Linked DNA regions of Nothobranchius furzeri. The protein of the gene in region 1 binds, or shares a complex with, the protein of each later gene. Links are inferred from orthologs where the notes say so. Each region holds a gene or a part of one and is shown in the gene's direction. Other genes may lie near its edges. The genes, in order: adat3 and adat2.

What was found.
Region 2: the proteins of adat3 (region 1) and adat2 are in contact, whole or in part, in a crystal structure (PDB 9HMM), measured with the Mus musculus proteins. The link is inferred for Nothobranchius furzeri from reciprocal best matches to the Homo sapiens genes ADAT3 and ADAT2. Residues at the interface, in NP_001094076.1 of Mus musculus: Val217, Ala218, Pro220, Leu221, His223, Ile229, Asp230, Ala233, Gln236, Gly237, Glu270, Ser272, Pro274, Val276, Val290, Met291, Met294, Ala295, His298, Ala299, Pro311, Asp312, Leu318, Phe319, Val321, Arg324, Asp326, Leu327, Asn328, Pro349; in NP_080024.3 of Mus musculus: Val62, Asn63, Lys66, Asn67, Ala68, Thr69, His71, Met74, Ile77, Leu81, His85, Pro91, Cys107, Ile108, Met109, Ala112, Ala113, Leu116, Met117, Arg130, Phe131, Val137, Leu138, Ile140, Asp144, Leu145, Pro146, Asn147, Thr148.

Annotation. Positions count from the first base shown.
Region 1 is NC_091747.1:23,888,538-23,897,027, reverse strand, and holds adat3 (probable inactive tRNA-specific adenosine deaminase-like protein 3), read left to right. Parts: upstream 1-3,418; 5' UTR 3,419-3,555; exon of another isoform or gene 3,556-3,632; intron 3,633-3,785; exon of another isoform or gene 3,786-3,924; intron 3,925-4,256; exon of another isoform or gene 4,257-4,262; coding exon of another isoform or gene 4,263-4,967; exon of another isoform or gene 4,968-5,160; intron 5,161-5,768; 5' UTR 5,769-5,783; coding exon 5,784-6,788; 3' UTR 6,789-6,949; downstream 6,950-8,490. Other genes in the region: osgepl1 (tRNA N6-adenosine threonylcarbamoyltransferase, mitochondrial), read right to left, coding at 920-1,010, 1,082-1,153, 1,228-1,358, 1,849-1,997, 2,072-2,276, 2,351-2,738, 3,209-3,396; alkbh6 (alpha-ketoglutarate-dependent dioxygenase alkB homolog 6), read left to right, coding at 4,263-4,967; ormdl1 (ORM1-like protein 1), read right to left, coding at 7,989-8,124, 8,199-8,350.
Region 2 is NC_091742.1:15,093,569-15,101,340, forward strand, and holds adat2 (tRNA-specific adenosine deaminase 2), read left to right. Parts: upstream 1-3,885; 5' UTR 3,886-4,022; coding exon 4,023-4,118; intron 4,119-4,332; coding exon 4,333-4,437; intron 4,438-4,572; coding exon 4,573-4,723; intron 4,724-4,788; coding exon 4,789-4,895; intron 4,896-4,957; coding exon 4,958-5,030; intron 5,031-5,206; coding exon 5,207-5,235; 3' UTR 5,236-5,362; downstream 5,363-7,772. Other genes in the region: pex3 (peroxisomal biogenesis factor 3), read right to left, coding at 39-177, 489-543, 628-694, 789-910, 998-1,041, 1,157-1,238, 1,307-1,438, 3,417-3,489. UniProt on the Homo sapiens protein: Probably participates in deamination of adenosine-34 to inosine in many tRNAs.

The DNA of each region.
Region 1 (8,490 bases):
GAAGATTCTTGTTAGAACGGATGTGCTTCAGATTTGTTTTGCAGAACAAAGATTAAATCATGAGACCCAGAATGTGGGGATGATGAGCAGAACTATAAACTGTTAGAAGTTGGGTTAAATCAAATCAAACGTCTTTTCCAGGTTACCCTGAATGTTTTTACCCTCTGCTCTGTGTGACTCCAGACTAACAGTGAAAGAACAGTTATAGGAAGTAGAAACATCCCTGTGGAAAATTTTTACCTGTTGACAGGTGAAGGGTCAGGATTAGACCCAGAATTAGTATCTATCAAAACGGTTTAGTTCTTCAGGGCAAAACTCACACACTTCTGCCAAATTACCTTCAGAGTTGTAAGGGAAATTAGAGCTGAAAGTCTACAGAGCATAATAATAGTTTTAGGAAATGAGCTTCTGAAAGCACAGTCACTGGGATGGAGCTGGAATTCGGCGAGAAAGGGCAAATTCTTAGGAAAAAAATTATTTTTCTAAATTTACCCTAAAAAAACAACCTTTTTTGTTTTGAAGAGTTTATCGTGTCATAATCCAAACACTGAGGAATCAGTTTGTGAAGATGGTGTTTTTCAGGTGTTTGTTTATATTTACTGAAAAACGGAAAATTAAATTTTTGGGAAAACTTTTGTCATACATCCACTGACTCACCAACAGAGGGCAGCCCTTTAAAACAAACTCCTCTCAGAAACCGGTTCTTGATGGTAACTATTCTCCTGGAACTAATTTTATCTTCAGTTACTTTTATTTATTGTTATACGTCATTAACAGCTGTTTTTGAACAAATGTTAGGATCTGACATCAGATCAGTTTAGATAACCATAAAAAATAAAACACTCTCTAAAATCTGTTCAAAAATACATTTATTAATAAATATCAGTACAATGGGTTATTTACTAATTATTTTGTGTTTCTAAATGTTATTTTGGATCTTCATCCTGACTCGTGGGAGTCTGATGGCAGCTGCCCTCACCTCTGCTGAGATGTCAACACCCAGAGGTGCCCTGAATAAAAAAACATGCATAAAGCTGATTTAATCTGCAGAATAAAACCGTCTCTCTCAGTATTCACTCACTTTGGCTCATAGCGGACGTCCTGGTTTGGCAGCAGAATCCCTCTCCCTTCCCTCAGACGCTCAACACCATTCCTGTTCAGGACAAAGTTAAATGAGTGTCTTGGATAATTCTGGATGAAATCAATCTGATGAGACTGTTCACACACCATGCAACCATCACACCGTTATCAGTGCACAGTTTACCAGGAGGACAGAGCAGACTGAGTCCGGTCCACTCGGTGATGATCGCCAGAACCTTTCGGATGTACCGGTTACTGGCAACTCCTCCAGACACCACCTGGAAAGGCTCTATCAGTCAAATCTACACGTGGGATCACGAATATCTGAGAAAATTAAAGTAAAAGGATGAGGTTCTAAAGTTTTATTTTAAATCCTTCATGACTGTATTTAACCCAGATGTTTTATTTCTGTAATAAGGTCTCAAAAGGGAGAATTTCGAGCAGATTGTGTATTTTATTCAAAAAGGCAAAAGAAACCTCGATTTGTCTCAATAGAAGAGCTTCTGAGAACAACTGCTCAGAGGATCTCCCAATGATAAAATCACCAAACTGATCAAACCTCAAGAAAGAACGAAGGCATCTAGAGGTGACACCAGAACATCTTGAGGAGTTGGAGAAGGGACCAGAAATCTGGTCTATTTGTGCAGGTCAAATACAAATATTACAAAGTGATGTGACTTTACTGAAACTCTTTTTCCACGAGTTTGTTGCAGATTGAAAAGCAGGATTTGATGGATGATTAATTCCAGGATTAGAAGAAGCACTCACCAGAGTGGGATTATCTGCTGGCAGCAGGCTGTTAGCCTTACAGAACAGGATGGCGCGATGTGTACGCTCTGCAAGATGCGAGGCGACGGTGTGCTGAGCGGCTGCTGCTAGATCGTTGACACACGACAGCAACGTTCCTTCTCCTACACCTACGAAGAGGAACTCACAGTCACGAGTCACACTGCAAGTTAGCTACAGATGACATTCAGGAAACTTCTCAGACCTTCCTCTGCCTCCTTTTTCTTTATAGTCATCGTAATCTGGTTCCTGAGTCCAGCAAAAGAAAAGCAGCAGTCAGGAGTTTTACCCATAGGGGTCGTGAAATAAAACCTCTTCCTGTCTCCATCTTTAGCCAGAAGCTCGATAGCTTGTCCTCCACTCAGTGTGCAGCACTGTGGGTGTTTGCTGAGGGACAGACGTCTCGCCACCTGAGAATCCACAAAACGTAGATGATTTTATGAGCAGAGAATTAGGATCTGCAGCCAAAATCAATTCACCTCACTTTATCAAGCGTATCCCCCGGAGCTTCATCCAATGCATGACCCAACAGCAGGAAGTCATCAACTCCCTGAGCCACAGCGAGAAGCGAGTGGCCTCCAGAAACGAGCAGCACCAGAAAGGGGAAGAAAAGAGGGTGGAGCATCCTGACGGTCAGAGCGTGGGCCTCCATGTGGTGGATAGGGATGAAGAGTCTGTTATGCTGTCTCACAAACCTTAGACTGAACTCCAGACCAACGCTCAGGCTCAGGGCCAAGCCCGGCTTTACGGTGGTGGCCACGGCAGAAAGCTGGCTCGGGGTCACGCCGCTCTTCTCCAACGTCTCCCAGACCACACGCTCTATGTTGTCTCTGTGGAGCTGCTGTGCTACTGTGGGGATGATCCCACCCGTCCTGCGGTGTATGAGAGGAAAACAAATAGACACATATGAAACAAAGTGACAGTGTGTTTTAAACTATAACCTAGTTAGTCATCGTTAGGTCTGCAAGGTGACTGGTAACAGGCAAAAGCACTGTGAAGATATGCAAATGTGAAAACCTGGGTCCAGCCGCCGATCCAGCAGAACCTCCATCACAATGAGGACGGTTGGGATCAGCTGTTTGTGCTGCTGTGCATTATGGGTAAACATCTCCCCTTGGTCTCCCAGGAAAGCTTTGATCTGGTGAAACTTGATGGACCTGAGCTGACCTTCTGAGAGGATGATTTCTCCTCCTGACACTCTTCTTAAGTAGCCATTCTTGTCATGACCTTTAACATTTCACCCGTTTCCAAACACGTTTTTACATTACACTTGAGGACTTTTTCATGTCCTGACAAAAACCCTAGAACTGAAGGAACCGTAGCTCTGCACTCTGAAACCTACCTCAGATGTTCTTCTTTCTGTGAATGCAGACACTCGCCCAGTATAGAACCGGTTTCGTCTAACACAGCAGCTCCTGTTTCGTCGCAGCTTGTCTCAATACCTAAAACAAGTCTGGAGCAGAATGGCCTTCCAGACGTGTGTTTACACCGTATAAACCTCTGCAGAAAGTCTACCTTTGTTCGGAACATTGTCTTTTTTTTGTTCCACCCGTGAGTTAGAATAATCTAGTAACACACGATGACCTAACTTTATTATTAAATAAACTAAAAAACACAAAACGTCGACCTCATGATGGGAAGCGTAGACCACAGCGTTTAGTTACCCGGACACTTTTCGAAGTTACACAGGTGAGTAGTTATGGCGGACAGTTCTCAGGCTGCTTGACTAAACGCTTTTTTATTCATAATTTCCGTAATCTACTGAGGTAAATATAACTTTAACGTTTGCTTACAACTGTAATAAATTAATGCCAAGTGTATATTAATGGCTGTACTGTATCAGCGGTGTTATAAGTTAAAATGTTTAGGAATTTTCCGCTTCCGGTTTGTAAACGGTGTTACTTTCATTTGTGTTGTACTTCTAAATGTGCCACGGTCCTTTCATCGAGACTTATTTTGAGTTATGTTTTTACTAAATTAACCAAAACATTCAGTCCTTCGTACAAATTTGTGCACAACTGACGGTCTGCTCCAGCGCAGTAACAAGACATTAACCTGGTAGGTGTTTTAGTATTTATGTAACAGACAGTAATGCCCCAGGTGCAGCAGCCAGACTTTTGGTTTTGTGCTTTAAGATAATTAACATAATAAACCAACTTCAGTACATATCTCATTTCAGAGTGGATAATTAAGTTTAAATTTGTACTAGAAAACACCAGTGGCTGCAAGAGGTAGTTATAACTCATTTAGGATATGACATCACTTGTTCATGGTGTATTTTTCTTCTGTTTGATTACTAATTTTAATTTAGGTAGGGTTTATATTTAAAAATACTTCCAGTTCATTGTGTGCATGAATTCTAATAAGAATTTCATGTTACCTTTTCCAAGGGAAACATGGATCATCCAACTTGTATTTTGGAACAATTGAAGCAGCTTGTTGTAAAAACTGCTCCTCAAACAGTGTTTTACATCCCAGATTTTATATCCGAAGAGGAGGAATCCTACCTTCTGCAACAGGTCTATAAGTCTCCCAAAACTAAATGGACTTATTTGTCAGGTAGAAGGCTCCAGAACTGGGGAGGGTCACCCCATCCCAGAGGCATGCTGGCAGAGACGATTCCTGACTGGCTCCAGACTTACTGTGAGAAAATATCTTCTCTTGGCGCGTTCAGTGGGAAAACCGCCAACCATGTGTTGGTGAACGAGTATAAACAAGGTGAAGGGATTATGCCTCATGAAGATGGTCCACTGTATCACCCCACTGTCACTACTGTCAGCCTGGGATCCCACACCCTGCTGGACTTCTACAGACCCGTCAGCAGCCTGGAGGACGAAGCACCGCAGACCGAGGAGAACCGATTCCTGTTCTCCCTGCTGCTACAGCCACGCAGTCTTCTGATCCTGCAGGATGAGATGTACCAGCATCTCCTTCATGGCATTCAGAGCTGTTCCCAGGACAACCTAACAGACCAGGTGCTAAACCTGTCTGCTGCTGGAGCCCAGCTCGGAGAGACGCTGACCCGAGGAACCAGGGTGTCCCTCACCATCAGACACGTGCCCAAAGTTATAAAAACAAAACTAATGTTGGGAAGGAAATGATGGAATCGCTTCAGCACAGTCACCACGAGTTGATTAAATATATTAAAAAAATTAATTTAATTAAGACTTGATAACCTCTTGAAGCTTCATATTGTACTAAAGTTGATTTATTTTTAAGGAAAGCATGTACATAAATATGACCTAGCTTTAAAAGGGAATGTCTTCAGCATTGTCCTAGAGAGTTCCAGTATGGGTTTGGTTTAAATGTACTGCAACATTTGTAACGATTTAACAAATCTTGATATGATAACAGATGTAACTGATTAATGAGAATATTGTATTTAAATGTTCTGGAGTTTTATTCTGAAAGGGAAGCAGCTGTTTGTTTTCAAATCCATCTTTCTGTGATTCTCATGCAAAATGAATATTAAAACTGGTTTGCTCATTTCTTACTTTATAGGTTCAATAAAAACAGTTAAACATATATTTGAAAAATGCGTGCCAAAGATGATGTTGTTATACTAAACGTTCAGATCTAAGATTTAAACACTGAAATTTAATATAAATGCTGAAACTGATGTTTCCTAACCCGACAGCCTTTAGTGGTAATACCTCAGCAATTGTCTCCCTTCTCATCAGTCTGTCTCTGGGTTCAGTAGGAATTCTGTCCCACTTCTTATCTCATTCTGATTTGCAGTGACTGGTAACAGCTGAACCATAAACCACTCAGATTTTGTTAGCTTCACTAACTCTGAAAGATGGTCTCTTTGTGTCTGAATGCTGCTTCATTGTGCTGATCTCTGTCCAGTGTGGCTGAAATCCTTTCTCATCGTGTCCTCTGTCCTGCTGATGTGCTGACAGGAGGACATCAAAACAATGGAGCCACAGACGAAACGCTGGAAGGGGTCAGCGTGTGATGCAGACTCCTGGGTCCCCTATCCTGTCCTGTCAGATGAGCAGTCACAAGACGTGGAGCTGGTAGACGCGTTCGCTGCCCCCATCACCAACAAGAAAGCAACGTCTCGGCTTGTCAGGGAGCTGAACGCCCTCTATCCACTCAGTGGCCTTCAGCATATCAAGAGGGTACGAGCTTGTAAGGACGAGAATGGGCCCCACCCGTTGCAAGTGCTGCTGTGCCTCGTCAGCGATGCTCCAGACATGAAGGTGGTCAGCATCGACTCTCTTTTACCTTCGGATGGAGCTAAATGGGAAGGACTAGGGGAGCCCTTTGTGGTGCAGATTCCTGCTTGGCCTCCGTTGACCCGACCTCAGTTTGAGCTGGCGAGCCGGCGCTGGCCCACGTCCTTTCATGAAGACAAACAGGTGACAGTTGCACTCAAAGGAGAACTCTTCGGCCCCCAACAGAAAGCCATGATGCACTTGTACATGATGGCTGCTCTGACCGCTGCTAAAGCTGCCAAGGATCTGGGGATGGAGGCGGTTGGAGCAGTAGTTGTTGACCCCGAGAAGGAGCAGATCATAGCAGTCGGCCATGACTGCAGGGGCAACCACCCTCTGCATCATGCAGTCATGGTGTGTATCGACCTTGTAGCTCAGAGCCAGGGCAGTGGATGTTATCGTTTTGACAGTTTTACAGCCTGCAGCTTTACTTCACCAAAAATAAATGCGTCCAATCCCGAGGTGGGCCCTCGGCCGTACATATGCACTGGGTATGACCTGTATGTGACCAGAGAACCTTGTGTTATGTGCGCCATGGCTCTGGTACATTCCAGGATCGGTCGGGTTTTCTATGGCACCGCCTCTGCAGACGGAGCATTAGGGACCAAGTTTAAAATCCATTCTCGGAAAGACCTGAACCATCGTTTTGAAGTTTTCAGGGGAGTTCTGAGTGACCAGTGTGAGCACCTGAACAGGATGTGACCTCGTTATGGTTTAAAGTGAATTACGTCAAAACATTTTATTACCAAGACCTCACAGAGAATAAAAAACAAGATTTACTATGTAGAAATGTTTCTGATCCTGATTTTTGGTTTGACTGTTTGCAGATTAAGAAATGAGGTCACACCGTTTCATGATTTAGGTATATCCATGTGGAAATGTTTAAATTAAAAAGCAGTAGCCATTTCTGTTTCATCAGGTGAATAAAACCAACTTTTCCAACCAAATTCTCTCGGAGGGTGAACATGTTCTATAATAAATAATTTACATGAGGATATTTAAACCGTTTATTTTGTAAGCCTTTGACTTTTAAAAGACCACGAAATCATCTTGTGATAACCTGAAGGAACGTAAAACTCAACCAGCTTGTTTTAGGCTTTACCAAAATACTAATCCATCATGAAGAAGAGTAATTACATCTTTGCTAAACATGTAATATTTTGTTCCTTTTCCAACATTTTTAATGAGTTTTCTGGTTAATTTTTATTATTGTAACAATAAATCTGATCAGAGAACAAAAAGAACAAATCCCAGAAGGACTTAAGCAGAAAGAGACGGAGCGTCTAGCAGACAGACACGTTTTATTAAAGATTAGGAGCAAGAAATATCCCCTTCAGCTATGGCCAAACAAAGCAGAACTCGCTGCTTCGACTATAGCTAAAGTCCAACCTACAGGGAGCAGCTGCATGTTTGTAGTGGTTCCCACACCGACTGTAAACCTCTCACTAAACAATGGACACACATCAAAAAAGCAGGACAATGAAACAAGATGACCATTTTGTTTAACGTAATGAAATCATGCAAATAATGGGTTTTTTAGGGTAACGCCCATGACAACATTGAAGTGAGCCATAGAGTTCCACCAACAGATAATTAACACCTTTGAAAATACTTCATAGCATCCTTGTGGCTACAATACTCATAAAATCTGTCACCATGTGACAAAAGAAAAAAAGGCAAATTTGGGTCAACAAAAAGCCTGTTGATGCCTGGGCCAGCCCGGGTCAAAGCAGGTCAAAAACACAATTAAATACTCACATAAGTTAGTAATGCACATGGCATCTGAAAACACCTACTGGCTTTTCCAAACCTCGTAGACCTAAACGCCAGCTTCTATGATTTAGTACACAAATTGGCAGTACAAACAACACAAAACACTGGTAATGCTGACAGGCACAGCATTTAATACTTGTTGATGCCCAAAATTCTCACGCCGTGCAGCTGTGGCAGCTTGGGGATGAGGACGCTCAAAAGTGACACGGTGTTGATGACGAAGTGGGTCGTGTTGTATTTTGTGTAGAAACTTGCTAGAAAGTATCTGCAGGAAAAAAAATGTTCTGAAAACAATCAAACAAAGAAAATGAACACAAAAGAGCTCATCAGTGTACTTACAGAATGATGGGGGAAATGGTGAAGAACTTTCTAGAGGAAGTGAACTGCACGCCGCCGTCGAGCTGCTCCCAGTGAGTCAGAAGCCTGGCTTTTCCCTGGTCGGGGGTCTCAAAAGGTGTACCTTTCACTGCATGCATGAACACATACATGCCCTACGAAAGAGTACATGCAAATATAAAAAAGGAGCGACTACCAAGAACATTTTCTTTCTGTGAAGGCCAGAAAGCCTAGAGACATGACCTTTATACTCTCAAGCAACGCTACATATTAGCTATTGTGTAAACATGACTGA
Region 2 (7,772 bases), on another chromosome or scaffold:
ATCAGTGAGCGCCGCCGTGGTCGGGCCTCGCCGCTCACCTGCTCAGCCAGGGCGTTCTCGTCGTCCGCCAGCAGGAAGCGGGACATCGGGCGCTCCGAGTCGGACTCCACCTCGGCTCTGATCCAGCTCAGCTGCTGCTCCAGCTCCAGCAGGGACAAACTCTGCTTCAGAGACACGCTGGACACCAACGGGAGACTCGTCAACTGCTGTTCTACTACGGAGGGCCAGAAGGGCCAAAATCAACAAATAACTCAAATCTGACACGAATGAGACTAAAATATAAAAACATATTTTAAAAACTTTAAGGTTTTGTTTTATGATTCAATAAATAAGACTTTTTAAGTTTAAGACATGTTAAATAAATACTGAATTCTTTATTTTTTATTGTATTGTGGCACTTTTGGCTCTCCGTACACCACAATCATGCGATCACACAAATAAAAATGTGTGACTTTCGGACGTTTTGCAGACAGAAACCTAAAACTCACCTTCCCAGCGAGCGCTGCACGGCCCTCTTCACCACTGTTATTAACTCGTTTAACCCTGGGGAGACGCGCGGAGACGTTACACAACCCACACACACGCTAGGGTCTGAAGTCAATCTGCAGGAGGAGATCTGTCCCCTACCGTCTCCGAGGAGATGCTGGATGCTGGACAAGTACTGCTGCTGGACGTCTGCAGGAGCCAGAGGATTCTGGGTAATAAAAAGCAAACATCAGATCCTCGTTTCTTTCCATTTCCCTGCCGAGCTTCCACACCTGCAGCGCGTGGTGCAGCTCCATCCTCACCGTTATGCTCTTCCCTACAGAGTTATCCAGGTACAGGTAACCTCCGATGATGTTGAGCTGCACTCGAAGGAGAACCACCAGCATGCAAGTGCTGTAGACGGCCACGATGGTGCGGGTGAAGCCTGAAGACCACAAACAACAGATCCTGAGTCTCAGGAGGCCAGAAAAAAAATACTTTAATCAAATGTTCTGCCGAGTTTAAAACTTACTGATGATTTTTAAATCTTCCCAGATCTCCAGTTTATTAGCTGGTCTGGAGGAAAAAGATTTAAACATCTTTATTTAAACACCTAAAACAAGCAAATGTGTATTTTGTGTTAGATAACAGAATAAAGTCTGATGATGGGAACGCTAATGTGTCGTCTGACTTGGTCTTCAGCAGCGCGGTGAGCGTCTCGGAGTTCAGCTGAGCGACGACGGCCTCTCTGAGCGGCGGGAGCATCGACAGAACTGAAACACAGAAACGGTGAGCCTCGCTCCTCAGCTCAGGCCGACCCTAGCCCTTACCCTAACCCTACCGGTCATGTTGCAGGTTCGCTGGTTGCTCTCGAAGTGGAACTGCCGTCTGGCCTGGGCGATGTACTCCGTCGCCTCCTTCTCTTGGATGTCTCTGATCTTCTTTTGGGCATATCTTCCAAAAATGTAAACTCCTGAGAAGGAACCAAATAGGAGGTGAACACAAAAACATGGAGGGCCAGCTGCAGCACCGTGGGGGGATCCGTTATATTCTGATATTTTTTAAACTAAATAGCAAAAGAAGCCATCTGTTATTATTCAGCTTTGAAAGAAAAATACTAAACAGATTTTAACAGGAACCAAACCCGAACCTGGTTCCATAGGAGTTCAGAGAACTGCAGCAGAGAAGAGCTCAGCTGCTCCGGAGCATACAGGTGTGTGTTAATGCTGCAGGTCAGGAAACACTGAACAAGTGTGGCCGGCTTAGAAAGGCTGCAGGAGAAATCCTGAACAAGACTTCTAGAGCAATAGCCTTTGGACCAAAGTGGTGTTTACCCATAATGCACAGCAGAGCCCTCTGATATGGGCTGTATGACCGGTGTCAGAGCTTGGTCAGCATTGCCGGCAGTAAGTCGGGCTCGTTCCCAGGGAGAGTTGGACTCTGCCAAGGCTGCCCTTTGTCACCGATTCTGTTCATAACCTTCATGGACAGGATTTATGGGCGCAGCCAAGGTGTTGAGGATATCCATTATGGTGGCCTGAGGATCAGGTCTCTGCTTTTTGCAGATGATGTGGTCCTGTTGGCTTCATCAGAACGTGATCTTCAGTTTTCGCTGGAGCGGTTTGCAGCTGAGTGTGACGCAGCTGGGATGAGAATCAGCTCCTCTAAATCTGAGACCATGAGAAAATGGTAGAATGCCCTCTCCAGGTCAGGGATGAGGTCCTGCCCCAAGTGGAGGAGTTTGAGTATCTCGGGGTCTTGTTCACAAGTGAGGGAAAACTGGAGCGTGAATAGGCGGATTGGTGCTGCATCTGCAGTGATGCGGCCATTGCACCAGTCTGTCGTGGTGAAGAGAGAGTTGAGTCGGAAGGCGAAGCTCTCTATTTACCGGTCGATCTACGTTCCTACCTTCACCTATGGTCATGAGCTTTGGGTAGTGACAGAAAGAACGAGATCACGGATACAAGCGGCCGAAATGAGTTTTATCCGAAGAGCGGCTGGGCTCTCCCTTAGAGATAGGGTGAGAAGCTCAGTCATTCGGGAGGGGCTCGGAGTAGACCCGCTGCTCCTCCACATCGAGAGGAGCCAGTTGAGGTGGCTCGGGCATCTGGACAGGATGCCTCCTGGACGCCTCCCTGGTGAGGTTTTCCGGGCACGTCCAACCGGGAGGAGGCCTAAAGGTAGACCCAGGACACGGTGGAGGGACTATGTCTCTCACCTGGCCAGGGAACGCCTTGGGATTCCCCCAGAGGAGCTGGCCCAAGTGGCTGGGGAGAGGGAAGTCTGGGCCTCTAGCCTTAGGCTACTGCCCCCGCGACCTGACTCCCGGATAAGCAGATGAAAATGGATGGATGGATGGATGGCACAGCAGAACGTTAGGAGAAACCCAAACCGCTCCCGCTAGCTGTGGACAAGGTGGTGGAGGGGTGATGGTTTGGGCTCCCAGCAAAAATGAGACCATGAAAACCAGACTGGGTAATAAATCTGGACACGGATCCCAAACGCAGCTAGAATCATGTGGCAATGATCAAAGTCCAGACCTCCACCCCCACCGAAAGCTTGTGATGAGACGTTGGGGAGCAAATGGTGCAAATCCCACAACTCATAAGTGGGCCAGAATTCCTCCAGAACCGCGCAAGGCTCACATGATCCTCACATAAAGTTTCACTACAGTGAATCATGTTTACATCAGAGACAGGGAGAAATGTGATGTTGTGCAGCACAGAGATAAAAAATACATATCTGTAAGCATTTTTAGTTTTGACAAATATGACAAAAACATTTTATATTTGAATCGGTAAAGTATTCTAAAGCCGAAAAAAAGATCATCTTAATGTTCCTAATCGCTCTTTAAATAACTTTTAAAATACACATGGTTCATTTTATCACCAAAACTAGTTTTTAAAGGGTTTATTCGTGGTGTCCGGCGTGTGTGGGGACTACCCCCTTACCTCCAACGACTGCTCCGGTGAAAATGAATTTCTTTTTATGGCGTTTTATAAAATTCCAGACAGACGAAAACATCTTCAGGAAAGTAGAACTCCAAAACCCCTCCGCACTTTTATCTCTTGGCTTCACTTTTTAATAAACATTTTAGTGGAAGAGTTTCTGACTGCAGCTCTTAGCTACCAAGCTAACTGTCACAAATTTGCTGATCAAGGGTGTAGCTGAGACATCCGGTTTAGGACTTCAAAATAAAACGCTCTGGGCAACGGAAGTGCAAATGATCATTAGATAATAGAATTGCGAATCCACGTCACATTAAAATAAAGAAACGGTTGTACTAATTAAGTGCTGTTCTATAATCAATGAGAACTATAAAATAATTGGTCCTGGCAAATCTTCCTGACATTTGTGGGAACATTCTACTTCCGGTTTTAGCGCACAATTTGTGAGAAAGGTGATTGGTCGCATCCGAAAGTGGTCCGTTTAATATTATCTTCCCCCACTGTGCTAAGCGCTTCAAATGAGTGACTAAAAGCTGAAAATACGCTCCAAAAACTGAATTTAACTAAATATCTCCAGTTTCAAAGATATTTTACATCACTCCTGACGCCATGGGATCAGAGGAGGGTGAAAATCCTGATTCTTTGGAGCGGTTTTGTCCGACTGATGAGGAAATAGAGAAATGGATGTGCAGCGCTTTTGAAATGGTAATGTCTTCATTCAAATGTAGCGAAGAAACATTTAATTTTTTTAAATAAGTTTTTATGATAAATGATTTTGTAATCATAAGTTGGTATCAACCAAATGAAAACGAACAGGAATTGTTTTGTTTGATTGGCTGAAACGTGTGTTAGATATTTCTGGTTCAGGAGTATAAGGCGCCTGGTGGTGGTGAGCTGAATGTTGAATGTGTTTCTGCAGGCCAGAGATGCTCTGGAGAACGGAGAAGTTCCTGTAGGATGTCTGATGGTTTACAAGGATGAAGTGGTGGGGAGAGGGAGGAATGAAGTCAACGAGACTAAAAATGTAGGAAAAATCTAAACAACCTTTAAAGAGCCTTACAGCAGGATCAGTCAGGACATAAGATCCTGGTGGTCTCCAGGAGCTAAAACTGTGTTGGCTTCATCATGAGACCAGTTCAAAATTTCTGATGGTTTTCAGGCAACTCGTCACGCTGAGATGGTCTCCTTGGACCAGGTCTTGGACTGGTGTCGCCATAGCAACCTGGACACAAAGAGCGTGTGTGAGCAGACTGTCCTGTACGTCACAGTGGAGCCGTGCATCATGTGTGCCGCAGCCCTGCGCCTCGTCAGTATCCTCCCCCGACCTGAGAGTGTGTGTGTGTGTGTGTGTTTGTTGTCCTTAACCAGCTCCCAGATATCCCCGTGGTTGCCTACGGTTGCAGAAACGAGCGTTTTGGGGGGTGCGGATCAGTTCTGGACATTTCCTCTGCAGACCTTCCTCACACTGGGACCACATTTAAGGTGTTTATTCATTTGTGCCACGTTGACCAGCTGCTCACTGTTTTATAAACACGTGTGTTCAGTGTGTTTCAGGCCACAGAGCAGAAGAAGCCATAGAGATGCTCAAAACTTTCTATAAGCAAGAAAATCCAAATGGTAAAATGTTTGATTACTGACCAGCTAATAAACCAATGTTGATGTTACTGAAAAGTTATTTAACTCTTTCTGACAAAAATACCTTTACATCAGAAATCGTTTCAGTTCTGACAACTGATTTATTCCAATTCATTTGCTCAGAGAATTAAAATCAATTATTCTTTTGTCTGTTTCAGCCCCAAAGCCCAAACCAAGGAAGGACTGACCTGAACAAATTGTTTTAATGTGTATTTTATAGATTTTTATTGTAATAAAATCATTTTTATTTCTAGATAATGACTTTTAATGTCTTATTTCCTCATTTCTCCAGTTCCCCAGCATGGGCGCTCTTTACCAGCTGACCTGTAAAACTGAATGAAGAGGAAAACACAGAAACATGAAGCTGCAGTTAAAACTAAATGTCAAAAATCATAAAGTTTAACATTTCTGAGGATTTGGGGGGTTTATTGGTTTGTGGAATCATGGAGGCAGAAGTTTGTAGTGAAACTGCAGATGTAAAACAAACCACTGTGTGTGTGTGTGTTATCCATGGTTCTGATTGGCGACATCAGCTCCAAACGTTTCACGCTGTGATGCAAGATGTCGACCATCAGCACACAGATCGCTCCCACACATCAAGCTGTCACGATGTGTCCACATGCATGCACGCATTGTGTGTGTGTGTGTGTGTGAGAGATACTATTTTAACACCAAAAATAATTGATTTAATAGGGAAAAAGAATCAGCTAATTCTTCCTCTTTCCCTTGCAGCTGATTTCCTAAAAGCTGGAGAAAATCGTCTCCTTCACATACCTAAAGAGAAAATACATTAAAAACATTAAACCTCAATGAAATTGATTAGTTGTGACCAAAAACAAGTTTGACCCATAATTAAACAGCATTTTGCTTTCATTTGACATTTAAAAAAAAAAGAAGTTCATGTGTCCGGAAAATATTTGTGCATTCTTCATTATGATTATTGTTATTATTTTTTGTAAGAAGAAGAATATGCTAATATGAAAGTAGTTGATAAACACTGCATTTAGTAAGCTGCTGTGTTTAAAAGCAACAATAAAACATTACCGACATGATTCTCACTTTACAGACTTTCTGTTGAATATACTGATGACCCTCCCTTGTTTTTATTTAGACACAGGGCTATTTTGTTTATGTGCTGGTTTAGAAGTGGTTTAGAAAATAAAGTTGGATTGGAACGTCTGAGCGCGTGCTTCCCTCGTGTATTCGAATCCCGTAACTGCAACTTCGGAGTCGTTTACCGTTGCTAGACAACACCCAGGCAAAATCTGACTCAAACGGGTTTTATCACATATACACTGCTTGTGAAAACATGTCGGAAGATAACGTTATTGTGATAGAGAAAGTCACGGTTGAAAGAGTTGTTCTGAAGGTCCCCAAGGAGGATATCAAGAACACACACCGGGAAGGTGACCCTTTACCGTTGCTAAACACCCAGGCAAAATCTGACTCAAACGGATTTTATCACATACACTGCTTGTGAAAACATGTCGGAAGATAACGTAATCGTGATAAAGTCACGGTTGAAAGAGTGGTTCTGGAGGTCCCCCTGGAGGATAAGAACACACACCGGGAAGGTGACCCTTTACCGTTGCTAGACAACACCCAGGCAAAATCTGACTCAAACGGATTTTATCACATACACTGCTTGTGAAAACATGTCGGAAGATAACGTTTACTTAGAAGTATACTCCTTGGGACTAAATTGGGCCACTAAAGTATACTTGAAGTATACTACAAGTATACTTCAAAGTAATAATTTAAGTTTATTTGTAGTGTACTTCTGATATAATTGAGTATACATTTCTCTTTGAAAGTATACTTAAAGTAACATCACAAGTGTACTTGGAGTGTTCTTCTGAAATAATTAAGTATACTTTTGTCCTTGAAAGTATACTTAAAGTAACAATATAAGTTTACTTTTCATACAATTGAGTATACTTTTCTTCTTGAATGTACTTAAAATATACTTTAAGTAACAATATAAGTTTACTTATAGAGTACTTCAGATATAATTGAGTACTTTTCTCCTTGAAAGTATACTTTTAAGTTTACTTGTAGTGTACCTCTGATATAATTGAGTATAATTTTCTCCTTGGAAGTATTTTTAAAAGTAACAATATAAGTTTACTTGTAGTGTACTCCTGATATAGTCGAGTATACTTTTCTCATTGAAAGTATACTTAAAAGTAACAGTATAAGTTTACTTCTAATAAAATTGAGTAAACTTTTGCCCTTGAAAGTACACTTAAAAATAAACTTTAAGTAACATTATAAGTTTACTTGTAGTGTACTTCAGAAATAATTGAGTATACTTTTCTCTTTGAATGTATACTTAAAATTATACTTAAAGTAATATGTTTACTTGTAGTGTACTTCTTATATAATTGAGTATACTTAGTTTTGAAAGTACACTTTACAGTAAACTTGACGTAATATTCTTTTAGTACATTTTAGTATCTCTATTTTTTCTATAAACACATACTGCAAGTAACATTTAACATCTGCTATTTGCTTACTACCAATACATTTAATTTCCACTATTTACTGATACTTCGTCTTTATGCAGAGAAAAAAAAATTAAATAAAATAGCTAAGTCATTTTGTTTAAATTGATTAAACAGAGAGAATTAGAACAGAACAAAAACAGACCTGTTTACCAGGATTAATCAAAGATGAGAACGCAAACTGTTCTGAACATGACGCGTTAATTCTGTCCATTTTGAA